Oryzias latipes: one gene and its partners. The protein of the gene in region 1 interacts with the protein of each later gene in a pairwise test. Links are inferred from orthologs where the notes say so. Each region holds a gene or a part of one and is shown in the gene's direction. Other genes may lie near its edges. The genes, in order: ranbp9, mkln1 and delta-type opioid receptor.

Region 1 (5,949 bases):
CTGTGAGTTTTTCAAAGCAAATTTCCGCTTTTACGGTTTCCTTAGAAACCGTAAATGGAGTGTAAATTCACTCCATGCGCTGTTCTCTCCGTCACGCAGCAAACCGGCTTTTCCAAACCCGTTGGTGACGGTGGACTTTTTTACGCTGCTTTTAACGATTGCTTTTAACTTGAAAGCTTCATCATATTGTAGCGGCGATCTGGTGCACGTTGGGTCTAATGGCCCCAAAGGATTCTGGGATGCGGCCGGGCATGCGTGTTTTGTTTTGTTGAACCATGACTGAAGTGTCTAAGACCTGAAGTCAACTCCATGCTGTTTGGCTGCTAAGAGGTGTGTTGAACAAAAATGCCTCGTGCTTGGTGTTAGATAGAGAATTCAAACTATTCACTGAGTTCGAAAGTACGTACATGGCGGCCGCCAATTAAATCCATAAATTAGCCGCGTCACTGAATAAGCCGCAGGGCTGTAAGCGCAGGAAAAAAGTAGCAGCTTGTAGTCCGGAAATTACGGTACATATTACACTCGGGATGCAACACTTTAAACCTCGGTTTTTGGGTTATGGATTTGTTTCGGTTTGGGTATTACAAAACAACAACAGAAATTCAGAAAATTCTTTATTTTTTTATTTGCAAATAAGCATCTTAAACCGAAAATTGTGGCATCCCTAAATCACTCGCTCCTTAACGTACCGTAACTCTCAAACCGTTTCCACGATCAACGAGAAAAGCAGCTTTACAAATCGGCTCTGCGTCCTTATGCAGCCCTTTACATTAGTAACAGCGCCTTTATGTGCGACAGAATCAGCTGATTAACATAAACACTTCACAACTGTAAAGTGTTTCATACCAGAGCAAAGCTGCTTTTCTCCACTTCAAAATCAGCTGGAATTCCATCGAGAGCTGAAAGAAGCTCCAATGTTGAACAAGATTTTCATACATATCACACGTGCATAACCTAAAGCATGTTTAGGTTGTTTTTAATTAAAAAACAAAAAAACCTTACCTGTGAATAAAGTAACTGCAGCCTAAACATTAGAACTTTTTTTACTTTCCAACTGTTTCTTACAGAAGTTATCCATGTTCTTGCTTTTCACTAGAGGCCTTGATACCTTTTTTTTAATGTATTTATAAAATGTGCATTTTGGATTAACTTGAGTTTACTGAGTTTGGAGAAATTTAAAAAAATCCTTGTGACAATGAAACAAAAAACTTCAAGAAGAGGGCAGACGCATTCTCACATTTTTCTCTTCTATTTATCGAAAAAAAAATTTTTTCATTTGATGAAGAAATCCGAACAGGAAGTGTCCGTTTGCAGGATGCTGCTGCTGACGGAGTCCAGATGGACCAGAGCTGCCACGCAGCAGTAAAACCGGCAGGACTTTCTCCAGGATGGGATTTGCAGCCTGTTGCTGTGATTACTTGCTGTGAATGGATTTAATCTGTTTGGTACAGATTGAGGGTGAGGGTGGGGTGAGACGGGGCCGCATGTGCGATTATCCACATAGAGCCGGTCCAAAGGTCCTTTTTTTCTCTTTTAAACCAATCCAGATTGTTTTTCCTTTTGAGTTATTCATTAATCTTTACAGATTTTTTTAAATATATAAAACGCATGATATCCTGCCGATGGTGGGGCAACTTTGTCCTGTTAGCTTTGCTGTGACCTCATTTCTGCTGCGCCTCATGGACCTCACTGAGTTCCAGTCCTTTCTTGTCTCGTCAGGATGGTGGCGTCCTACCTGGTGCACCACAGCTACTGCGCCACAGCCGAAGCCTTCGCAAAGTCCACGGACCAGGCCGTGCAGGAGGAGCTGGCCTCCATCAAAAACAGACAGAGTGAGTCTGCGAAACGCCGCAAAGTAAAACTGCAGTATCCAGAGACTTGCTGGTCAAATTAAAGCACAGCTCTGCCTAAAAGTCTTCTTCCCTCCAGCACGCCCTTAACCCCCCCATATAAATGTTAAAAGTATAGGGGTTAAATGTATATGACGTTTAGCAGCACTGACATTCACGTGTTTTTGGCTGCAGAGATCCAGAAGTTGGTTTTGTCGGGTAGAATGGGTGAAGCCATCGAGACCACCCAGCAGCTGTACCCCAACCTCCTGGAACGGAACCCGGACCTCCTCTTTATGCTCAAGTAGGAACACACACACACAAACACACCTCATCCATAAATCTTCAGAACCCGCTGGATCCCCTTCAGGGTCGTAGGAAAGCTGCTACTGCTGGGCCAAGGCGGGGCACACCCATTCTGATGCAGAGCCACACACTCGCATGCACGCCTAGAGGGAGTTTAGAGAAGCATGTTTTTAGACTGTGAGAGGAAGCCAGAGTGGCCGAAGAAAACCCACACATGCAGGAGGACAAGCAAACTCCACACAAATGCTCCCAGCTGGGACGAGAGCGCTAACATGCACACAAACACAGAATCTTAAAACTGCCTAATAATCTATTTGGTGTGAGGAGCATACAAGGATTGTAAAATCACAATATGAAAGTCAATATGCGAGTCGTGTTGGAGTAGTGGTTAGCACTCTTGCCTCATAGTGAGAAGGCCCTGGTTTGAATCAAAGGGTTCCTTTCTGTGTGGAGTTTGCATGTGCTCGTGTATGTGTGGACGCCGGACACACCAGCTTATGCTCTGTGTGTTCAGTGATTCTGGGATATGGTGGGTTCAGAAAATGGATGGATGGAGTATAGGCCAGGAAAAAAACAATAGTCTAGGATCTATGAAAAATACTGTTATATTTCCATGTGTGTGGGGGGCAGATGTTTGGTATTGAAGGAGGTTAGTTTAAGGGGTAAAAGTTTATCGTAGGAGATAAATCCTGAGTTTCACTCAGGTGGGAGTGTCTTTTAACGATGATTTTTGGCGATTATTAATTCCTACTTCTTTGGTTGAGCTCTGTGTCCCTCATTTTCAGGGTGAGACAGTTCATCGAGATGGTGAACGGGACGGACAGCGAGGTGAGGTGTCTGGGGGGCCGCAGCCCCAAGTCTCAGGACAGTTACCCTGGCTCGCCGCGCTCCTTCAGCAGCCCGGGCCACAAAGCCGGCAGCTCGCAGTCCTACCTCACCGGTACAGTCCCGCGCTTGGCCATGAGCCCCCACCCTGCAGCCGCTCTGATCCCTGCTGCTGGTTTGTTTGCAGGGGTCGACAGCAACTGCTGTAATGGCGTGGCATCAAGTAAGAGCCACAGCTCCTCCCCTCACAGTCACAAGCCCTGCCCCCCTGGCTCTGGCTCCACCCTCCCAGTCACCGACGTTAGTCTGAATGGGAGCCGCAGCCAGCTGCCCATCACAAGGTACAGTCTTAGTTTAGGACTGAGGTTAGATGTCTGCACCTGCTGACCCTGCATCCCCCCCACTTTACAGCAACGACGTGGACATGGAGGTCGACCACTTCACCAACGGAGTGACAGAACTATCCTCTAATGGTTTCCTCAATGGCACGTCCAAGCACGCCACGGAGCCGGAGGACTGCGACGCAGACATGGGTGGGTGCAGAGGCGGAGCCTCCTGCGTGGCGCTTGCTTTGCCTTCAGCAGCTTTTGAAACGGCCTGCAATGCTTTTCCCGTGATGGACGCGCTTTCACACAGCAAAGTCCAGGGATTTTTCTCCTGCCGTTAAGTTTGAGTGTCATCAGATCACTGACTGTTTCCTCCCCACCTCAGAGGTGGAGTCCGCTCAGGTCAAGAGGCAGCTGTGCGGGGGGAGCCAGGCCGCCATCGAGAGGATGATCCATTTCGGCAGGGAGCTCCAGAGCATGAGTGAACACCTCCGCCGCGAGTGTGGCAAGAACTCTGCCAACAAGAAGATGCTGAAGGTGAAGTCAGAGTTCGGCCCTGACAAACGTCTCATTTTCAGAACCTAATATTGACCTAAAGTTTTGGTTCTGAGACTTTTGTCGTTCATGTGCAAACTTTAAAATAAAGTTTAGTGTAAATGAAAACAATATTTTTACTTATCAAATTCCAAAACTCCATGTTTGTTTTTTCCTCCGCTGTGGATTCATAAAAATCCACCTTAGAAATCTTGCTGCACTGAATGAGATCAGCTCTAATCTCTAGAGATTACCCACACGGCTCATATTCCATGACATCAGTCTGCATGTGGCTCAGAAGCTTTGACACTGTTTTCCTGACAAAAAAGATGAAAATGTCACGGGACAAAAGAGAAACGTCCTGCAGCTGCAGAGGACAGAAACGGTCATGTCTGATGGTTCCTTGTCTCCCGCTGAAGGACGCGTTCAGCCTGCTGGCCTACTCGGACCCCTGGAGCAGCCCGGTCGGCTACCAGCTGGACGCCATTCAGAGGGAGCCGGTCTGCTCCACTCTCAACAGTGCAATATTAGGTGGGTCAGCTGCGGCTTTGGCAGGCGGAAGGAAGTCCAACACGATGCTGGTCGGGCTTTGTTCTGCAGTGACTCTGCAGCCTGGGTGTGAGAGTCAGATCTGCAGTGACTCATCAGGAGGGGAATGGACTGACTGACGGTCAGCTGATGGCTGCACTTCATTCATCATCTCACTGAATGAAACACTTTCATTTTGATTCGGAGCTGAAATCACAGATTTGTAACAGAGATCCTGCTGTGGAAGGACTTTCAATTTCTATTGAAAGGACTTTCAATAGAAATTTTTCCCTTTTTCCCCCGATGATTTTAAAGTCTCACTCCACTCATCTTTAATGTATTTTCAAAGCGTTTCCTGTGTTGTTTTTAAATAATGATTATGCCGTTTTTAGCTCAAATCAAAAAACCTGTTTAGTTTCCTAGAACATAGTTTCTGCAGAGCGGCAGCATTTTATCAGAAATTTAGCTCACAGTTGTGGACGCGACTTTTGCCGTACAGCACTGCTTCTCAATTATTTTTTGCACCCCCCCCCCCTTAGGAAAAAGACAAATTTTCACGCGCCCCCAACCCCCACCATCCATGTTTATTTATGATCAGCTGTTTTCTTGCATTACCTGCTGTCTTTCGGTCAAATACTGACACCAACTAAACGACAGGCAGACAAAGAATACATTGATGGAAAACAAAGACATGTCATCAAAATGTCAACAATAGTTCATAAAGAATGACATTAGAATGAGCTGAGTAATCTAAAGGCCCGTGATGATCCTGGTGCTGCGCAATCCAGGCAGCTCTCCGCGTTCCACCTGCAGCCTGAGCCCACTACCCCTCCCCCTTCCTTCTCAAAGACAGGAGCAGCTGGAGGGACGGCAGTTCACAGTTTCAGGCTGTTATAAACTCTGTCATATAACAGATAATAGGAAACCAACAGTGGCGCAAATTTTTTCCAAGTTCTGAGCCGCTGTCACCACGACCCCCGTATTGCCCGTATTACCTGTGGCTAAAACCGCTACTACTGCGTGCCCCCCCTTGTATCGCATCAGGCCCCCGCCCCACTATTTGAGAAGCACTGCTGTTGAGTAATCCTGCCCTCATTTTCCATGATCACGTTGTTTACATGCTCCTCCGCTAGCTTACAGCCCCTCTCAACTAACATTAACAGTTTGACAAAAACGGTGACCAAATCTGTAAAATGTCCTTGTATTTTTCACCAACCTGTTGTTGGAAAATACCTGGTGATCAGCTGAAGGATGGAGAATTCTGTGGAGATAAATATTAGCGGCCCAGACCGCTAATAGAGGCCACATTTCCTGATTGGCGTCTTCCTTTTTTTTCTTCTCTCAAGTAAAATCAAATGTAGTTTTTGTTAAAGAATTCTTGATGATGATCAAAGCTCCCAAAACAGTGTTTACTGCTGAAAAGTGGGGAACTGCGTGGAAGCAGAAGCTCCGCCCCGTCAGGTTTGAAAGCTCTTTGAGGATCTTCCCGATCAAGGAGTTGTTTTTTCAGGATGATCCCAGGTTTTCGGTGAAAAAAATGTCCAGAAGCGTTTCACCAAACTCTGGAGGTTTTCTGCTTTTGTTTCTCCAAGAGTCTGAAC
Region 2 (6,560 bases), on another chromosome or scaffold:
AAGTGTTGGATGTGCATTTATGAGAAATGCAGTTGTTATGGTCCTCATGTCATCAGGCCAGAAAGTTCACTGGCAGATGATTCACTCAAAATAAGGTTGGAGTCATCATCCACCATCCAATCAAAGACTCAGTCATTCTGCTTTTAAACAGACAGCCTGGACTCAGGTTATCCTGCTGTCTCGTTAATAACTGTCTTGTAAACAGAGGATTTCTTTGGTACTCTGAGCTTGGTTATTTCTGTTTTCCTTCAAGGGAAACAGTTCTTCTTTATTTGTTGTAACTGCACTCAGCCAGGACACTGAATGGGGATGTGGTTGTTGGAGTTCATGATGTCATTACTCAGTCCATGCTTCAGTCTGAAGTCTTTCAAATGTTGTCGGAAGCGTGAAAAGACACTTGCTGGTTGTTCTGTTCAGAAGACAAATCAAGGCTGAATGAGAAATATGACAGAAGAATCTCTCCCGAAGTGAAGAAGAAACCTAAAAGATATCATTCCATCACCTAAAATGCTGATCATTTTTTAGCAAATGTATTGCTTTGCATATTGCTTCAAGTTAACCTGACCTCCTGTTTAAGTTTTGAAAAGCTGCTTTGATTAAACTGAGTGTAACTAAGGACTCCTCCTGGTGCTGACTGTTGTTTGTTGTTGAACGTCTCTGAACAGCCAACAACGCCGACTTCATCTGGCTGGTTACTAAACAAAAAACACAACAAAAAAAATGAAAATGGTTAACAATTGCCTGTTTTTTTATCACAAGCTCTTTCCTTTAACCCTTGTGCTATCCTAGGCACTTTACCATTGGGAGTTGGGTCATCTAGACCCTTTAAACAGTGCTCTGAACCTTTTTTCTTCAATGATTTGTGATCTTCTCTGGTGTCCATGGATTACATGAAATCTTTCCACCTTTATTCACCTTTGTCATGTCAGGGAGAACACGTCAATGTAAGGGTGGGGTCATCTAAGATAGCACAAGGGTTAAAGTAAGATCTTTAAAACCTTTTTTATAAAGCTTTTATCCAAGTAGCAGGTTCTGAAGCAGTCAACTGGACTCAGTTAATCTTTAAGATATTTCATCTGTTCTTAGTTGGCTTTCTCAGTTCTAGAACAGTGGTAAGAGCTGGTTTGTTTGGTCTTATTATTTAAAAAAACAGACTGGAAACCTGTCCTGGGTGCACCCTACCCTCACCAAAGAGAGGTCGGGATAGGCTCCGGCAGCCCTGTGACCCAGAAAGGGACAAAAACAAGTTTAGATGGTGTTATTTGTTATCTGCTGTTTGTATAGGGCTGTGGTAAATCTTTTTTCCCATTGTGTGATCAATAAAGTTCTATTCTAAATATGGAAACATTTAAATGGCTCAAACATGTAATCAAGGGTAAAATGTTGAAAGAAATGCAAAACATTTCCCAAAATGCTACTTCTACATAAGACTATGTTCTGCTTCTGAAAGATCTATGTATAATATGTTATAAAGTGTAATGCTGCATTCACACCAAATGTGATTTGCGCTAAAAATTCGCATTTGGTGCCTCTCTTTTCGACACCTGGCGATTTCGCTGCTTGATGACTGTCTTAAAATGTGTTCATAAAAGAGGCCCAGAGAGGTCCAATGAAAAAGCAAGTTCCCAAGAGTTACAGGGAAATTCCCGTACCTGAAGCACTAGAAACTGCCAAAAATGAAGCCAGGCAGATAAACAGGCTGTTCCCAACTCAACCTGCAACACACTCAGTGGAGGGGTCACAACAGCAGAGCAGACCCACCAAGGCTGGAAACTGAACAATACTGGAAAAGTATGTGGGAGAGAAAGCACACAACAGCAACGCTCAATGGCTGGTCTCAATGGCTGGATTCTCAGGTATGACAGCACCCGGGCCATGGGGTGGAATGGCTGTCGGGTATACTGATCACTGAAAGTGGGCCGATGTGATGTGGGGGCTGGTCAACAGGTTTTTGTCCGCTCTCCACATAATTGGTCACCCGGTCGATAACTTATTGTCCAGTTGTCAAACTGTCAGAAAAGCTAGGAACATCAAAAATCCTGCACAAAAACCTCTAGCTCCCATGCCTCTGATAGAGAGCCAAAATTGTGTAAGAAACCACCTGGCTGCAGAGGATGAAAAGAGATGGGTTTTTTTTAGTTTCTCATGTTCCTTCCTCCAGATATTGTCATTACTTGGTTATGCAGCATCAATTTTTTAAATTGTGATTACAATCAACATTTCAAAACTTTTATTTAAAAAAAAGTTACGTCTATACATACATACATACATACATACATACATACATACATACATACATACATACATACATACATACATACATACATACATGCATACATACATATATATATATACACATACATACATTTTTTTAATACAACATTGGTTTGGAAAATGCAACAGATTTTAGTATAATAAACATATCAAAATAAGAAAACAAGTGTACTGTCTCTTTAAGTCGCAGCTCGTTCCCTGTTAGCCTCCTGCTATCTGTTTTTTTCATGCATCAAAATGGCCGTCGCTCCTGAGAGCAGAATCCTCACTTACAGCCTTTTTAAATGGAGTTCCTACTCCTCGACATATTTACCAGAGTGAGTATTTGGCACGACCGTGCGCTGCAATATCTGTACTTGCAGGTGGCCTCAGTTTCCCTGTTGATGGTTTCGCCGACCCGCCTGGCCTGGCTCGTCTGGGGTCCGGCTCAGCTAGCTTAGCTGTCGTGGTGGTGGTGGGTTCGTTTGGTTTGAACGCGCTGGCACTCCGGCGACACTTAAACGCCCGAGCAGTTTGTCAGACAGAGTGGTATGAGGTATTAAGTAGTCCTTAAAAACCATCCTGGGAACTTTTTAGTCAACTTTGCACCTAAATTTGATGATGTTGTGTTGGTGGTCCAAAGAGACATGTGTAAATTAGAGGTTCGTCTCATAAAGTTAGCAAATGTTAACAAAACGATACATTTTTAATAGACAAACAGTATCAGTCAGCAATATGACTTTTCATGGGGTCCTATTTTGGAGGTTGTTTAAATTACCGGAGGGCAGAAATGTTAGAATTTTAAACATTTTGGTAGTTTGGTGCGGCCGTCCGCACACCGGCACCAAGCATACAAATATTTAACGCAGGCCGTCGGGACTCAGATGAAGGTAACTCCTGTTATCTAACCTCATAGCTGCTATGCTAATGAGCGGTTCCCTGAAACAAGACCTGACAAGCGAACTGCCAAACTTTTCAGCGCATTCATGCATTTAATTCTCATTAAACATTGAGATATCTAACATCAAGCAGTATAACTGATTACTGTGTCAGCTCTTGCGGCGGCGTGAAAGTCAAGCTAGCTTACCACAACAGCAGAATGTGGAAGCTAACAGTCTGTTGTGATGCTAAACATAAACATTACGAGTTTTTTTCTCCATCGTTTGTTTTATGTGAAATTCTGTTACATAAGAAGATAAAAGAGAATGCATTAAATTCCATTCGAACATACTTCAAGTTTTTGCTTTATCTATCACATGCTATTGTTAACCCCCTATCCTAAAAACATATGTGGGAAAATATTATAATTTTATAAGAAAATAAATGCTGTGCAGCCAAATTGTTTGACATGGTCGTTTTTAAAGGGCCCATATCATGCTAAATCAACGTTTTGAGTTTTTAAGTGTATTATGTTAATTCCTCACTAAACCCCAAAGCGGTATTTTGATCCATTCATTAATTTCTGAATTTTTATGGAGTGATATATTTATGCCACCACGTAGCACACAAAACTTCCTAAGCTGCAAACGAAAATCCTTTTTTTCTTTTTCCTTTAGTTTTTATTGCTTTCATTTTTTTTCTTTTTTCATTTAAAAAAATATTTTTGCATTTGCAACACAAATGTTTTCACATGCGTTGTGTCTCATCTTTTCCTATCTTTGATTTTGCTCTTATAAGTGTCAGTTTAGCTGACAAAGCTGCCATCAACCAGCCTGCTGATTGGTCTAGATCAGGGGTCTGCAACCTGAACCTCTCAAAGAGCCAATTGGATCAGTTTCCCACAGAAATGAAAGCACAGGGAGCCACAACACTGGGGCTGTTAGAAAAAAATCGTTCCACCGATATATCGCAATAGTTCATTTGGCGATACTTGTATTGATTAAAAATGCTGTCAGAATATTTATTTAATTATTCATTTTAATTTTTTATGAACGTGATGTTTCCTTTGATCTTTTTTTGTTTTCCCACAACCTTGAATAGACATTTCTGTCAAACACCCAGAGCTAAGATAAGTGAGATGATGGAAACATTTACTTTGATTCAGACTCGTTTCTATATTTGTTTTTTCTTTAAATCCAGTAAACCCAATAAAGTGTATTCATTTTATGGATGAAAATTATTTTTTATTAGGAAGCTTAGTTTGTTGCGGGTCTTTTCCCCTGCGTGCAACCCCCCCCCCCCAGCATGTTCTACACAGACAGCGCAAAATACGGTCATCATAGCAGACAGTTGACAGGATAGTAGGGGCGCCCTAATGCAAATTTAATAGATTTTACGCAGAAATGGGTGGTTCGAGTCTAGGGGGAAAAAAATGGCTTTTTTTTTCCGCCACTGACTGTCGTTTTAGAAAAACTTTCCATCCCATTACAGACTCTGGTCGGCGTTCACAGCTGCAGACACGCCAAATCCGCATGCTCACGGACCTCTCTTCCTCCTGCCCGCTTTGCACTACACGACCACGAAAATTTTAGAACATGATAGTTATTTTACAAAAACACAGAGAGCCGCAGCACAAGGATGAAAGAGCTGCATGGGGCTCCGGAGCCGCAGGTTGCTGACCCCTGGTCTAAATTCTAACAATCCAATCCCCATATTTATCCAACGTGGTCTCTGGTCTCAGTTCAGGTCTCTCTTTCCGAATTCTCACCCTAACCCCTGAATTTTAGAAGCAATTCGGACACCAAGCTCACTACTTTTTTTTACATGGATTTCACAAAGCTAAAATCTAATTGATATGAGCATTTTGCGACTATTATTTATGAGTCCCCTGTCTTAAAAACATTTAAAATAAATACATTGATGGTTTATTTAAAGAAAACATTTAAATAAATTTTTTTTGGCAAAAAGTGTTCCGATGCAATGCATTGTGGTCTATATACGCCTATCTAGTTTAAAATTTCCAGTGCACTCGATTTTGGAATTGTAGATTCGGACCGCACAACAAAATGGCGAACGCACTATATATATATATATATATATATATATATATATATATATAGTGCCTGCTACCGAAGCTCAGAAGCCGAATCAGCTCTTTTTACCCTTGATTTTGTCTCTGTGGCTGAAGAAAAATTAATTTTTAATCATTTTAAAATTCAATCATACTTTAGTTCTTTTTTTTTCTTTAGCATTGATTAATTTTTATTTAGTCAGATTTGTGAATTTATGGCTGAGGGTTAGGAAGGGTTAGTGAAACTGCTCCCAAAAACTGCTGACATTACGCTATATCAACAGGCCTGTGTGTAATGTGGGAATTCTTCGGAGCAAAATATTGGTAAAAAGTGTGATTTTCTTTAAGATCTGTATGAAAAATATAAAAAATTTGGGTTTGTGAAGTTCCAAATATTTTCCGTCAGTGATCTTCGGCCTGGTCAGTTTAACGTTCCAAATGCACCTGCTGTTCTATTCTGAAGCCATCTTTTTCTGATGGTTTATCTGCGTCTTTTACTTTCTGGAAGTTTCCTGACCTAGCTTTGCTTATTCTCTAGGAATATTTTGGTGGATAAACCGAACGATCAGTCTTCCAGGTGGTCTTCTGAGAGCAACTACCCTCCACAGGTAGGCTTGTCCGCTGAATTAATCAGATAGTGAAGCTGGTTATCTGTGAACTCTCAAGAAAAAAAGTCAACCTCAAAAAATCTGTAAATGTAGATAATTCTAATCATTTAAACTCCTTGTATTATATGAAGTGATTTTATGCGTGTAAACCTGTGTTTAAGATTTGTTTCTGAGTGCAGAGAGTTCAGGTAGCTGGCTTCACAACGTCGCCACATTCCTAACGGTTTGAGAGGAGACTGTTGTCACAGGTTATTCTTTTTGTTTGTTTGTTTTTACACATCTTCATGTAGGAATGTAAACCAAAGCAGAAACAAATGAGGCATATACCAAGCAACAAATGAATCCTTTTGAAGCAGCAACTTTTCACTTGTGCCTGTTTTTCTCCCAATAGTGTTCAGCTCCTCCAGTTGAAATGAAAAACCATGACAGTGTTCTGTTTTTCTGTCTGCACAACACAACACTTTGCTTTTGGTATTGTTGCTTAACAAGTTGTAGTTTTTGAAGGTCTAGCAAAATGAAACATAGGAAGCCCCCCAGGTGCCAGTGGTTGAAAAAACAAACAAAATCTGATAAAACGTTCCCACGGATTAATCAATTGTGCTCTTACTGTTGTGCAATCGTGCGCGCACACATTGCTCGGAGACTTCAATTGGGAGTTTGGATTCATACATGACCGGTGTTCGGCCTGCAATAAGTGTTCGAGGCCCTACGACTAATGATGACGTCACACTATTTGATTGGCTGTACGT
Region 3 (5,170 bases), on another chromosome or scaffold:
TTTCTCCTCTATAATCAATTTTAAAGCAGTTGGCACTTCTGTGATTAAAAGGGACGCCAGCCATATGTCACTACCAAAGTCCCTGACTTGTCAAAGTTTGACCTTAAAGTTGTGCAGAGTCCCAAAACACACACTACAGGTTCATTTACGCAAATTTAAATATTATTGGTAGTGGTAACTTGAACGTGCGTTGGCGAGGACGGTGTGACAGTAGCCTTACTGTAACTTCAGTTCTAATGGAACTATCATGTCTAAAATGTTTGTTTGTTTTTTTTGTGTGAAAGAATTTAATGGATTCTTGGTCAGGTGAGTTCCAACAGTACCTCAATCTGTCATTGTTAGCCACAAATCTCTGCTTACAGACTCTTCTAAGCAGCTCATTAACAGCAACAGTAATGAAGACATGCAGAACCAAAAGAGGCCAAAACAAAAATTGAGAAAATTACGTTTATTGGCAGATGATGAATTTATTGGTGTGGATGAAGCTTTACAGCCTTGATCAGAGTAGAAAGGCATTCAGATGTGCAGACGGTGCATGGTGTGATGGCTGCAGCCCTAAAGCAAGAATCTCCAGAAATTGAGAGCGAGAACAGAGGAGTCGAGAAACATTTTCAAAATCTCGTTGTCTTTTAACAGCCCCGTAAAAAAAAGCTCTTCCAGCTCATACAGAGCAGATTTTCTAACACTCAGGGAAAATGCATGACTGCTTTCTGCCACCCACAGTTGTAGACTTTTATTAGAAAAACTAGAAAACTTTATTAGTAAAACAATCTTCTAGTCTGGTCCCTTTACAAGTTTTCTTTTCAATAAATTTAACTCTAAGAGAAATAAATGTATGAATAAAAAAGCACTTACAACACTTTAACTCAAAAACAAGAACCATGGAGAAATTCCACTAGAAATAGAAAACTGTAAACCCAGCACAGACAGAGTTGTAAATCAAGCAGAAATATATTTCCGCATCAGTTTCGCTGAGTGCTTTGCATTTTTTTACTGCCTTTTCCTATTAAGAATTTTAAGCAAACTCACTTTATAGACCCACCAATATTTATTTTGCTCGTCTTCAGGCTTTAAATCTAGAAAAAGCTTTGCAGCTGAGCTGCTTTGATGTCCTAGTTCACCACATACAAATATATTAAACATGTTTTGCATGTTTGTGCAACAGACTGGATGCCTGTGCAGAAACTACAAAGCCTTTGGCCAACAGTAGTTAGGATAGGCTCCAGCAACCCCATTATCCTAAAAGGGATTAAACATGTTTCAAAAGAAGATGGATGTCTGCATTTTTCAAAAACAACATTAGCGTTTGTGTCAAACACACGTGTGCGACGTGAAATGAGTTTTGTCCTTCACGGCCCCCCCTTAGCTGTTTTGCCAAGTATGTTTGTCCCCACAGACCCCAAGATTGTGGACTGCAAGCTGATTTTCCCCCACCCCTCCTGGTACTGGGACACTCTGCTGAAGATCTGTGTGTTCATCTTTGCCTTCATCATGCCCGTCCTCATCATCACCATCTGCTACGGACTCATGATCCTGCGCCTGAAGAGCGTTCGAATGCTGTCAGGCTCACAGGTGCGACACTTTTCATCAACTTAGCCAAACAGTCACAAAAACTGAAACAAATCACTGATGACTATTTACAAATCATAGCAGAGCACTGCATGATAGGAAATGGTTTCATTCATTGATGTCAAGACAAAAAAATGAGGAAAAAATGAAGCTGTGGTTACAAAAACAAATATTTGCTCACCTTTTGTGTGAAATGCAATATTTTCATATATGATCTACTTACAGTGTTTACATTTTGGTTGCCTTTTATCCAGTTTTTTTAAAACACTGTTGCCTTTTACGAGCTCAGTATGCAAATCGAAAACCCCTTAAAGACCCATTCAATCATCTTTTGTGTTCCCAGTGGTCTTTTTAGTTATGATTATGCTGTTTTTTGGCAAAATCAAAAAAAACTGTCATTTTCTAGGACATAGTTTCTGCAGAGCGAAACTTGCCTAAATTCGCCTCTGAGTTGTGGGCGGGACTGTTGGCATGGGTTAAGCCTGCCTTGATTTCTAATCATTCATCTGATTACATTCTCTCCTGCTAGCTTACTGCGTCTTTCAACACCAACTTAACAATACAGCTGCAACAAAAGTGGTGAGCAATATTGGAACAATCCAGCCGTACAGTTTTGCTCCAGATTCCAGCTTAGATGTGGAAGAAAAGATCTATTTTTCTGGAAGTGGATGCATCAGAATGGAGCGGAGCAGGAAACTTGTGGCCTGCCAACTGTAGCTTTTATGTCACAGCTACAGTCTTTTTTCAAACAGCATTTTTTTGTCTGCTCCTAATTCACAATGATTTGGAAAAATAAAAAAAGATATACTCGGAAATACAATTTTAAGATTACATTTCGAAATTATCTTTTTTTATATGCTGTATGTCATCATAAAAAAAGGTTAGAAGAGTGTTTTAAAAACACTAAGACAACATTTTTACTGTAGTGGGTCTTCAATGTAATCTGTTGGTCACTCATGCCATTAGCATAAAATTAAAATAATTATCTGGACTGAATTGAATTATAATTAATCACATTCAATAAAGATCCATCTTTTTTGTGGCCTCAGTTGTGAATTGGGACTTTGTAGATATACTCAATTGGATACAACAAAAAAATGAGGTGAATGATTTTTACATTTTTTTTAAACCTAAAACTTTGCTCTTGCTTGATTTGAAATATATGTTCAGTGTCACTATCTCATTTATTGCACTGCTTTTAATTACATTATATTTTTTTAAACACGTTTTTTTATCTCTGTAAATTACTTTTCAGCACTTTTGTGCATTTGAAAAAGGACGGCCTTGCTTTTAGAAATGCTGGATTTCTATTACATTTTTCAGTGAATCGCAAGCATTACACTTGATCGGTTTTGTACTTTTTGTGTGTTCTGAAAGGGCCTCTCTGCCGGTACTTAGCTGTTGTTGTGAATCGCAGGAGAAAGACAAGAACCTCCGTCGTATCACTCGCATGGTACTGGTGGTGGTGGCCGTCTTCATCGTCTGCTGGACCCCCATCCATGTGTTTGTCATCATCACTGCACTGATCAACATTCCCAGCTCCACACTTCAAACCATCACCTGGCATTTTTGCATCGCCTTGGGCTACACAAACAGGTAAAAATCCATTTGGCAGCTGTGTGGGCATTTATAGAGAGCATGTATAGAGAGGGCATTTAAACAAGATTTAATGAGAGAAACTGTTCATTGTCGTTTACTAAAAGGATTTTTTTTATCTCACCACTTGCAAAAAAGAAAAGGATTTTGTTAAATAGTGTTACATTTTGAGTTTTTGTTCAGCTAGCATTGTTAACCCATGACCCTATTTTTGCCCAATGCAGTAGCCTTAACCCGGTTCTTTACGGTTACCTGGACGAGAACTTCAAGCGCTGTTTCCGTGAGTTTTGCACCCCGAGTCCTTCCGTACTGGAGATTCAAAACTCCTCCAGAACTGGAGCCACCAGCCGCAAGGTCCCGAAGCGTGAACACAACAGTGCAAACACAGGGGAGAGGTCCAACCAACAGGTAGCCAGCGTCTGTGTAAGCACATATGAGTAATCTTGAACCAGATCTGATCAAAAGGATGTTGAAAACGTGAAACTGATTTGCCACTGAAATCCGCTTTTCCTTCTTAGTATGAATTAACTTTCTTTATAACATTTATGGTAACAACATAAACTTTTCCTAAATACAAGAAATTATAATGATTAATTATAGTATTAATTGTGCAACACTTGGGCATTTAAATCCTATATAACAAAATGAGAAACTAGATTTATATGCAAATTAGAAATCATCATAATTAATAATTATAATAATTTATAATAATCATTATTATGCAAAGCCATTTTATTTTCAGTGATTTTTTTTACAAGTCATCTTATATTTCAGTTTACCTGCTATATTTTTTAAATTAAGATTCATGTTATCCTATTTTTGTGATTATACCATGAAATAAATCTCACTCTTTATAACAATTAACAAAAAACAATTTCAATTGAACATTAAAAGCTTCAGATTAAACATGGTATAAAATACTATATTTTAAAAAAAATAGATGGAAAGTATAAAGTTTTTCACAGCTGGCTGTTTCTGCTTGGAAATGTTTTTTGTAAAAAAGACTTGCAAAACATTTGCAAGTTATTGTATTTAATGAAAAAAACAGCCAAAATGCATGAACACTGTTATATTAGTTATGCTATGTAATAAAAAAAACATCAAATACAAAAATAGAAGCATAAATATTCACCTTTTTTCTGGAGCATTATACATTTTTTGGGTGATAGATCTTTAAAAAAAAAAAAAGTATAGTCACCCAAAAAAGAAAAAAAACTAATACTTAAACAATAACAGTGTTAGGGCTTCTTCATCCAAGCAAATATGGTTTTTAGGAACAAAAATAGCAGAATTCTGCCTAAATGTGGCAAGAATTTAAGCTAAAGACAAATACAAACGAAAAACTGAAAGTTCATAAATATTGAAAACACTGCAAGATTTCAACATGTGACATTTTTGCTACAAAAAACAGAATACAAATACATCACTGTCATAATAAATACACCCAAAAAAATCCTGTTTTTTAAGATTTGGGGTTTGTAAATAACTAATTGGTCTGTCATTGGCATTTTATCAGAGTGATGTCACATCTGTTGAACGTCCTCAGACAAGTGCAGCAGTGTGTGCATCCTGATGAGGCGCTGCTTTGTCTGCGTTCTCTGCAGGTATGACTAGCCTTGGAGGGGTCGTCGCTGGACTCTCGCTGTTGTGGCAGCATTGCCAACGACGATCTCAACTCAGAAGTCACACAAGTCACCACTGGGTTTTAATCCCTCGAGCCAGACATGCCCATTAGATGATCCAGAGCACCTTTGTGAGGCATTTGCAGCTCACAGCATTTACTCAAAAACTTCTAAAAGGACTGAAGAGCCCGCCGCCCCTTCACTGTTACACTCTGAAGAAATGTGCACAGTACTCTGTTGACATTGATTCAAAAAAAAAAGTGTTCAACTGACAGATCTGTAAATCCACTTTCATAAGCCAATATGGTGACGTGTACTCGTCAATGTCAACTACAGAAATCAATTTTCGAACACGCCGTCATGCCTTTCTGTCATGCTTCCCC

Evidence for each region.
Region 2: the proteins of ranbp9 (region 1) and mkln1 interact in a two-hybrid assay, tested with the Homo sapiens proteins (2 studies listed by BioGRID). The link is inferred for Oryzias latipes from reciprocal best matches to the Homo sapiens genes RANBP9 and MKLN1.
Region 3: the proteins of ranbp9 (region 1) and delta-type opioid receptor interact in binary tests that used the Homo sapiens proteins (3 or more experiments, as listed by UniProt). The link is inferred for Oryzias latipes from reciprocal best matches to the Homo sapiens genes RANBP9 and OPRM1.

The regions. Positions count from the first base shown.
Region 1 is NC_019875.2:8,733,173-8,739,121, reverse strand, and holds part of ranbp9 (ran-binding protein 9), read left to right. Parts: intron 1-1,719; coding exon 1,720-1,832; intron 1,833-2,024; coding exon 2,025-2,133; intron 2,134-2,920; coding exon 2,921-3,075; coding exon of another isoform or gene 3,076-3,147; coding exon 3,148-3,301; intron 3,302-3,371; coding exon 3,372-3,493; intron 3,494-3,671; coding exon 3,672-3,823; intron 3,824-4,239; coding exon 4,240-4,351; intron 4,352-5,949. UniProt on the Homo sapiens protein: May act as scaffolding protein, and as adapter protein to couple membrane receptors to intracellular signaling pathways. Acts as a mediator of cell spreading and actin cytoskeleton rearrangement.
Region 2 is NC_019881.2:8,983,856-8,990,415, reverse strand, and holds the start of mkln1 (muskelin), read left to right. Parts: upstream 1-2,460; 5' UTR 2,461-2,511; coding exon 2,512-2,591; exon of another isoform or gene 2,592-3,665; intron 3,666-5,741; coding exon 5,742-5,811; intron 5,812-6,560. UniProt on the Homo sapiens protein: Component of the CTLH E3 ubiquitin-protein ligase complex that selectively accepts ubiquitin from UBE2H and mediates ubiquitination and subsequent proteasomal degradation of the transcription factor HBP1.
Region 3 is NC_019873.2:17,201,380-17,206,549, forward strand, and holds part of delta-type opioid receptor, read left to right. Parts: intron 1-1,396; coding exon 1,397-1,572; intron 1,573-2,986; coding exon 2,987-3,165; intron 3,166-3,389; coding exon 3,390-3,588; intron 3,589-4,769; coding exon 4,770-4,775; 3' UTR 4,776-5,170. UniProt on the Homo sapiens protein: Receptor for endogenous opioids such as beta-endorphin and endomorphin. Receptor for natural and synthetic opioids including morphine, heroin, DAMGO, fentanyl, etorphine, buprenorphin and methadone.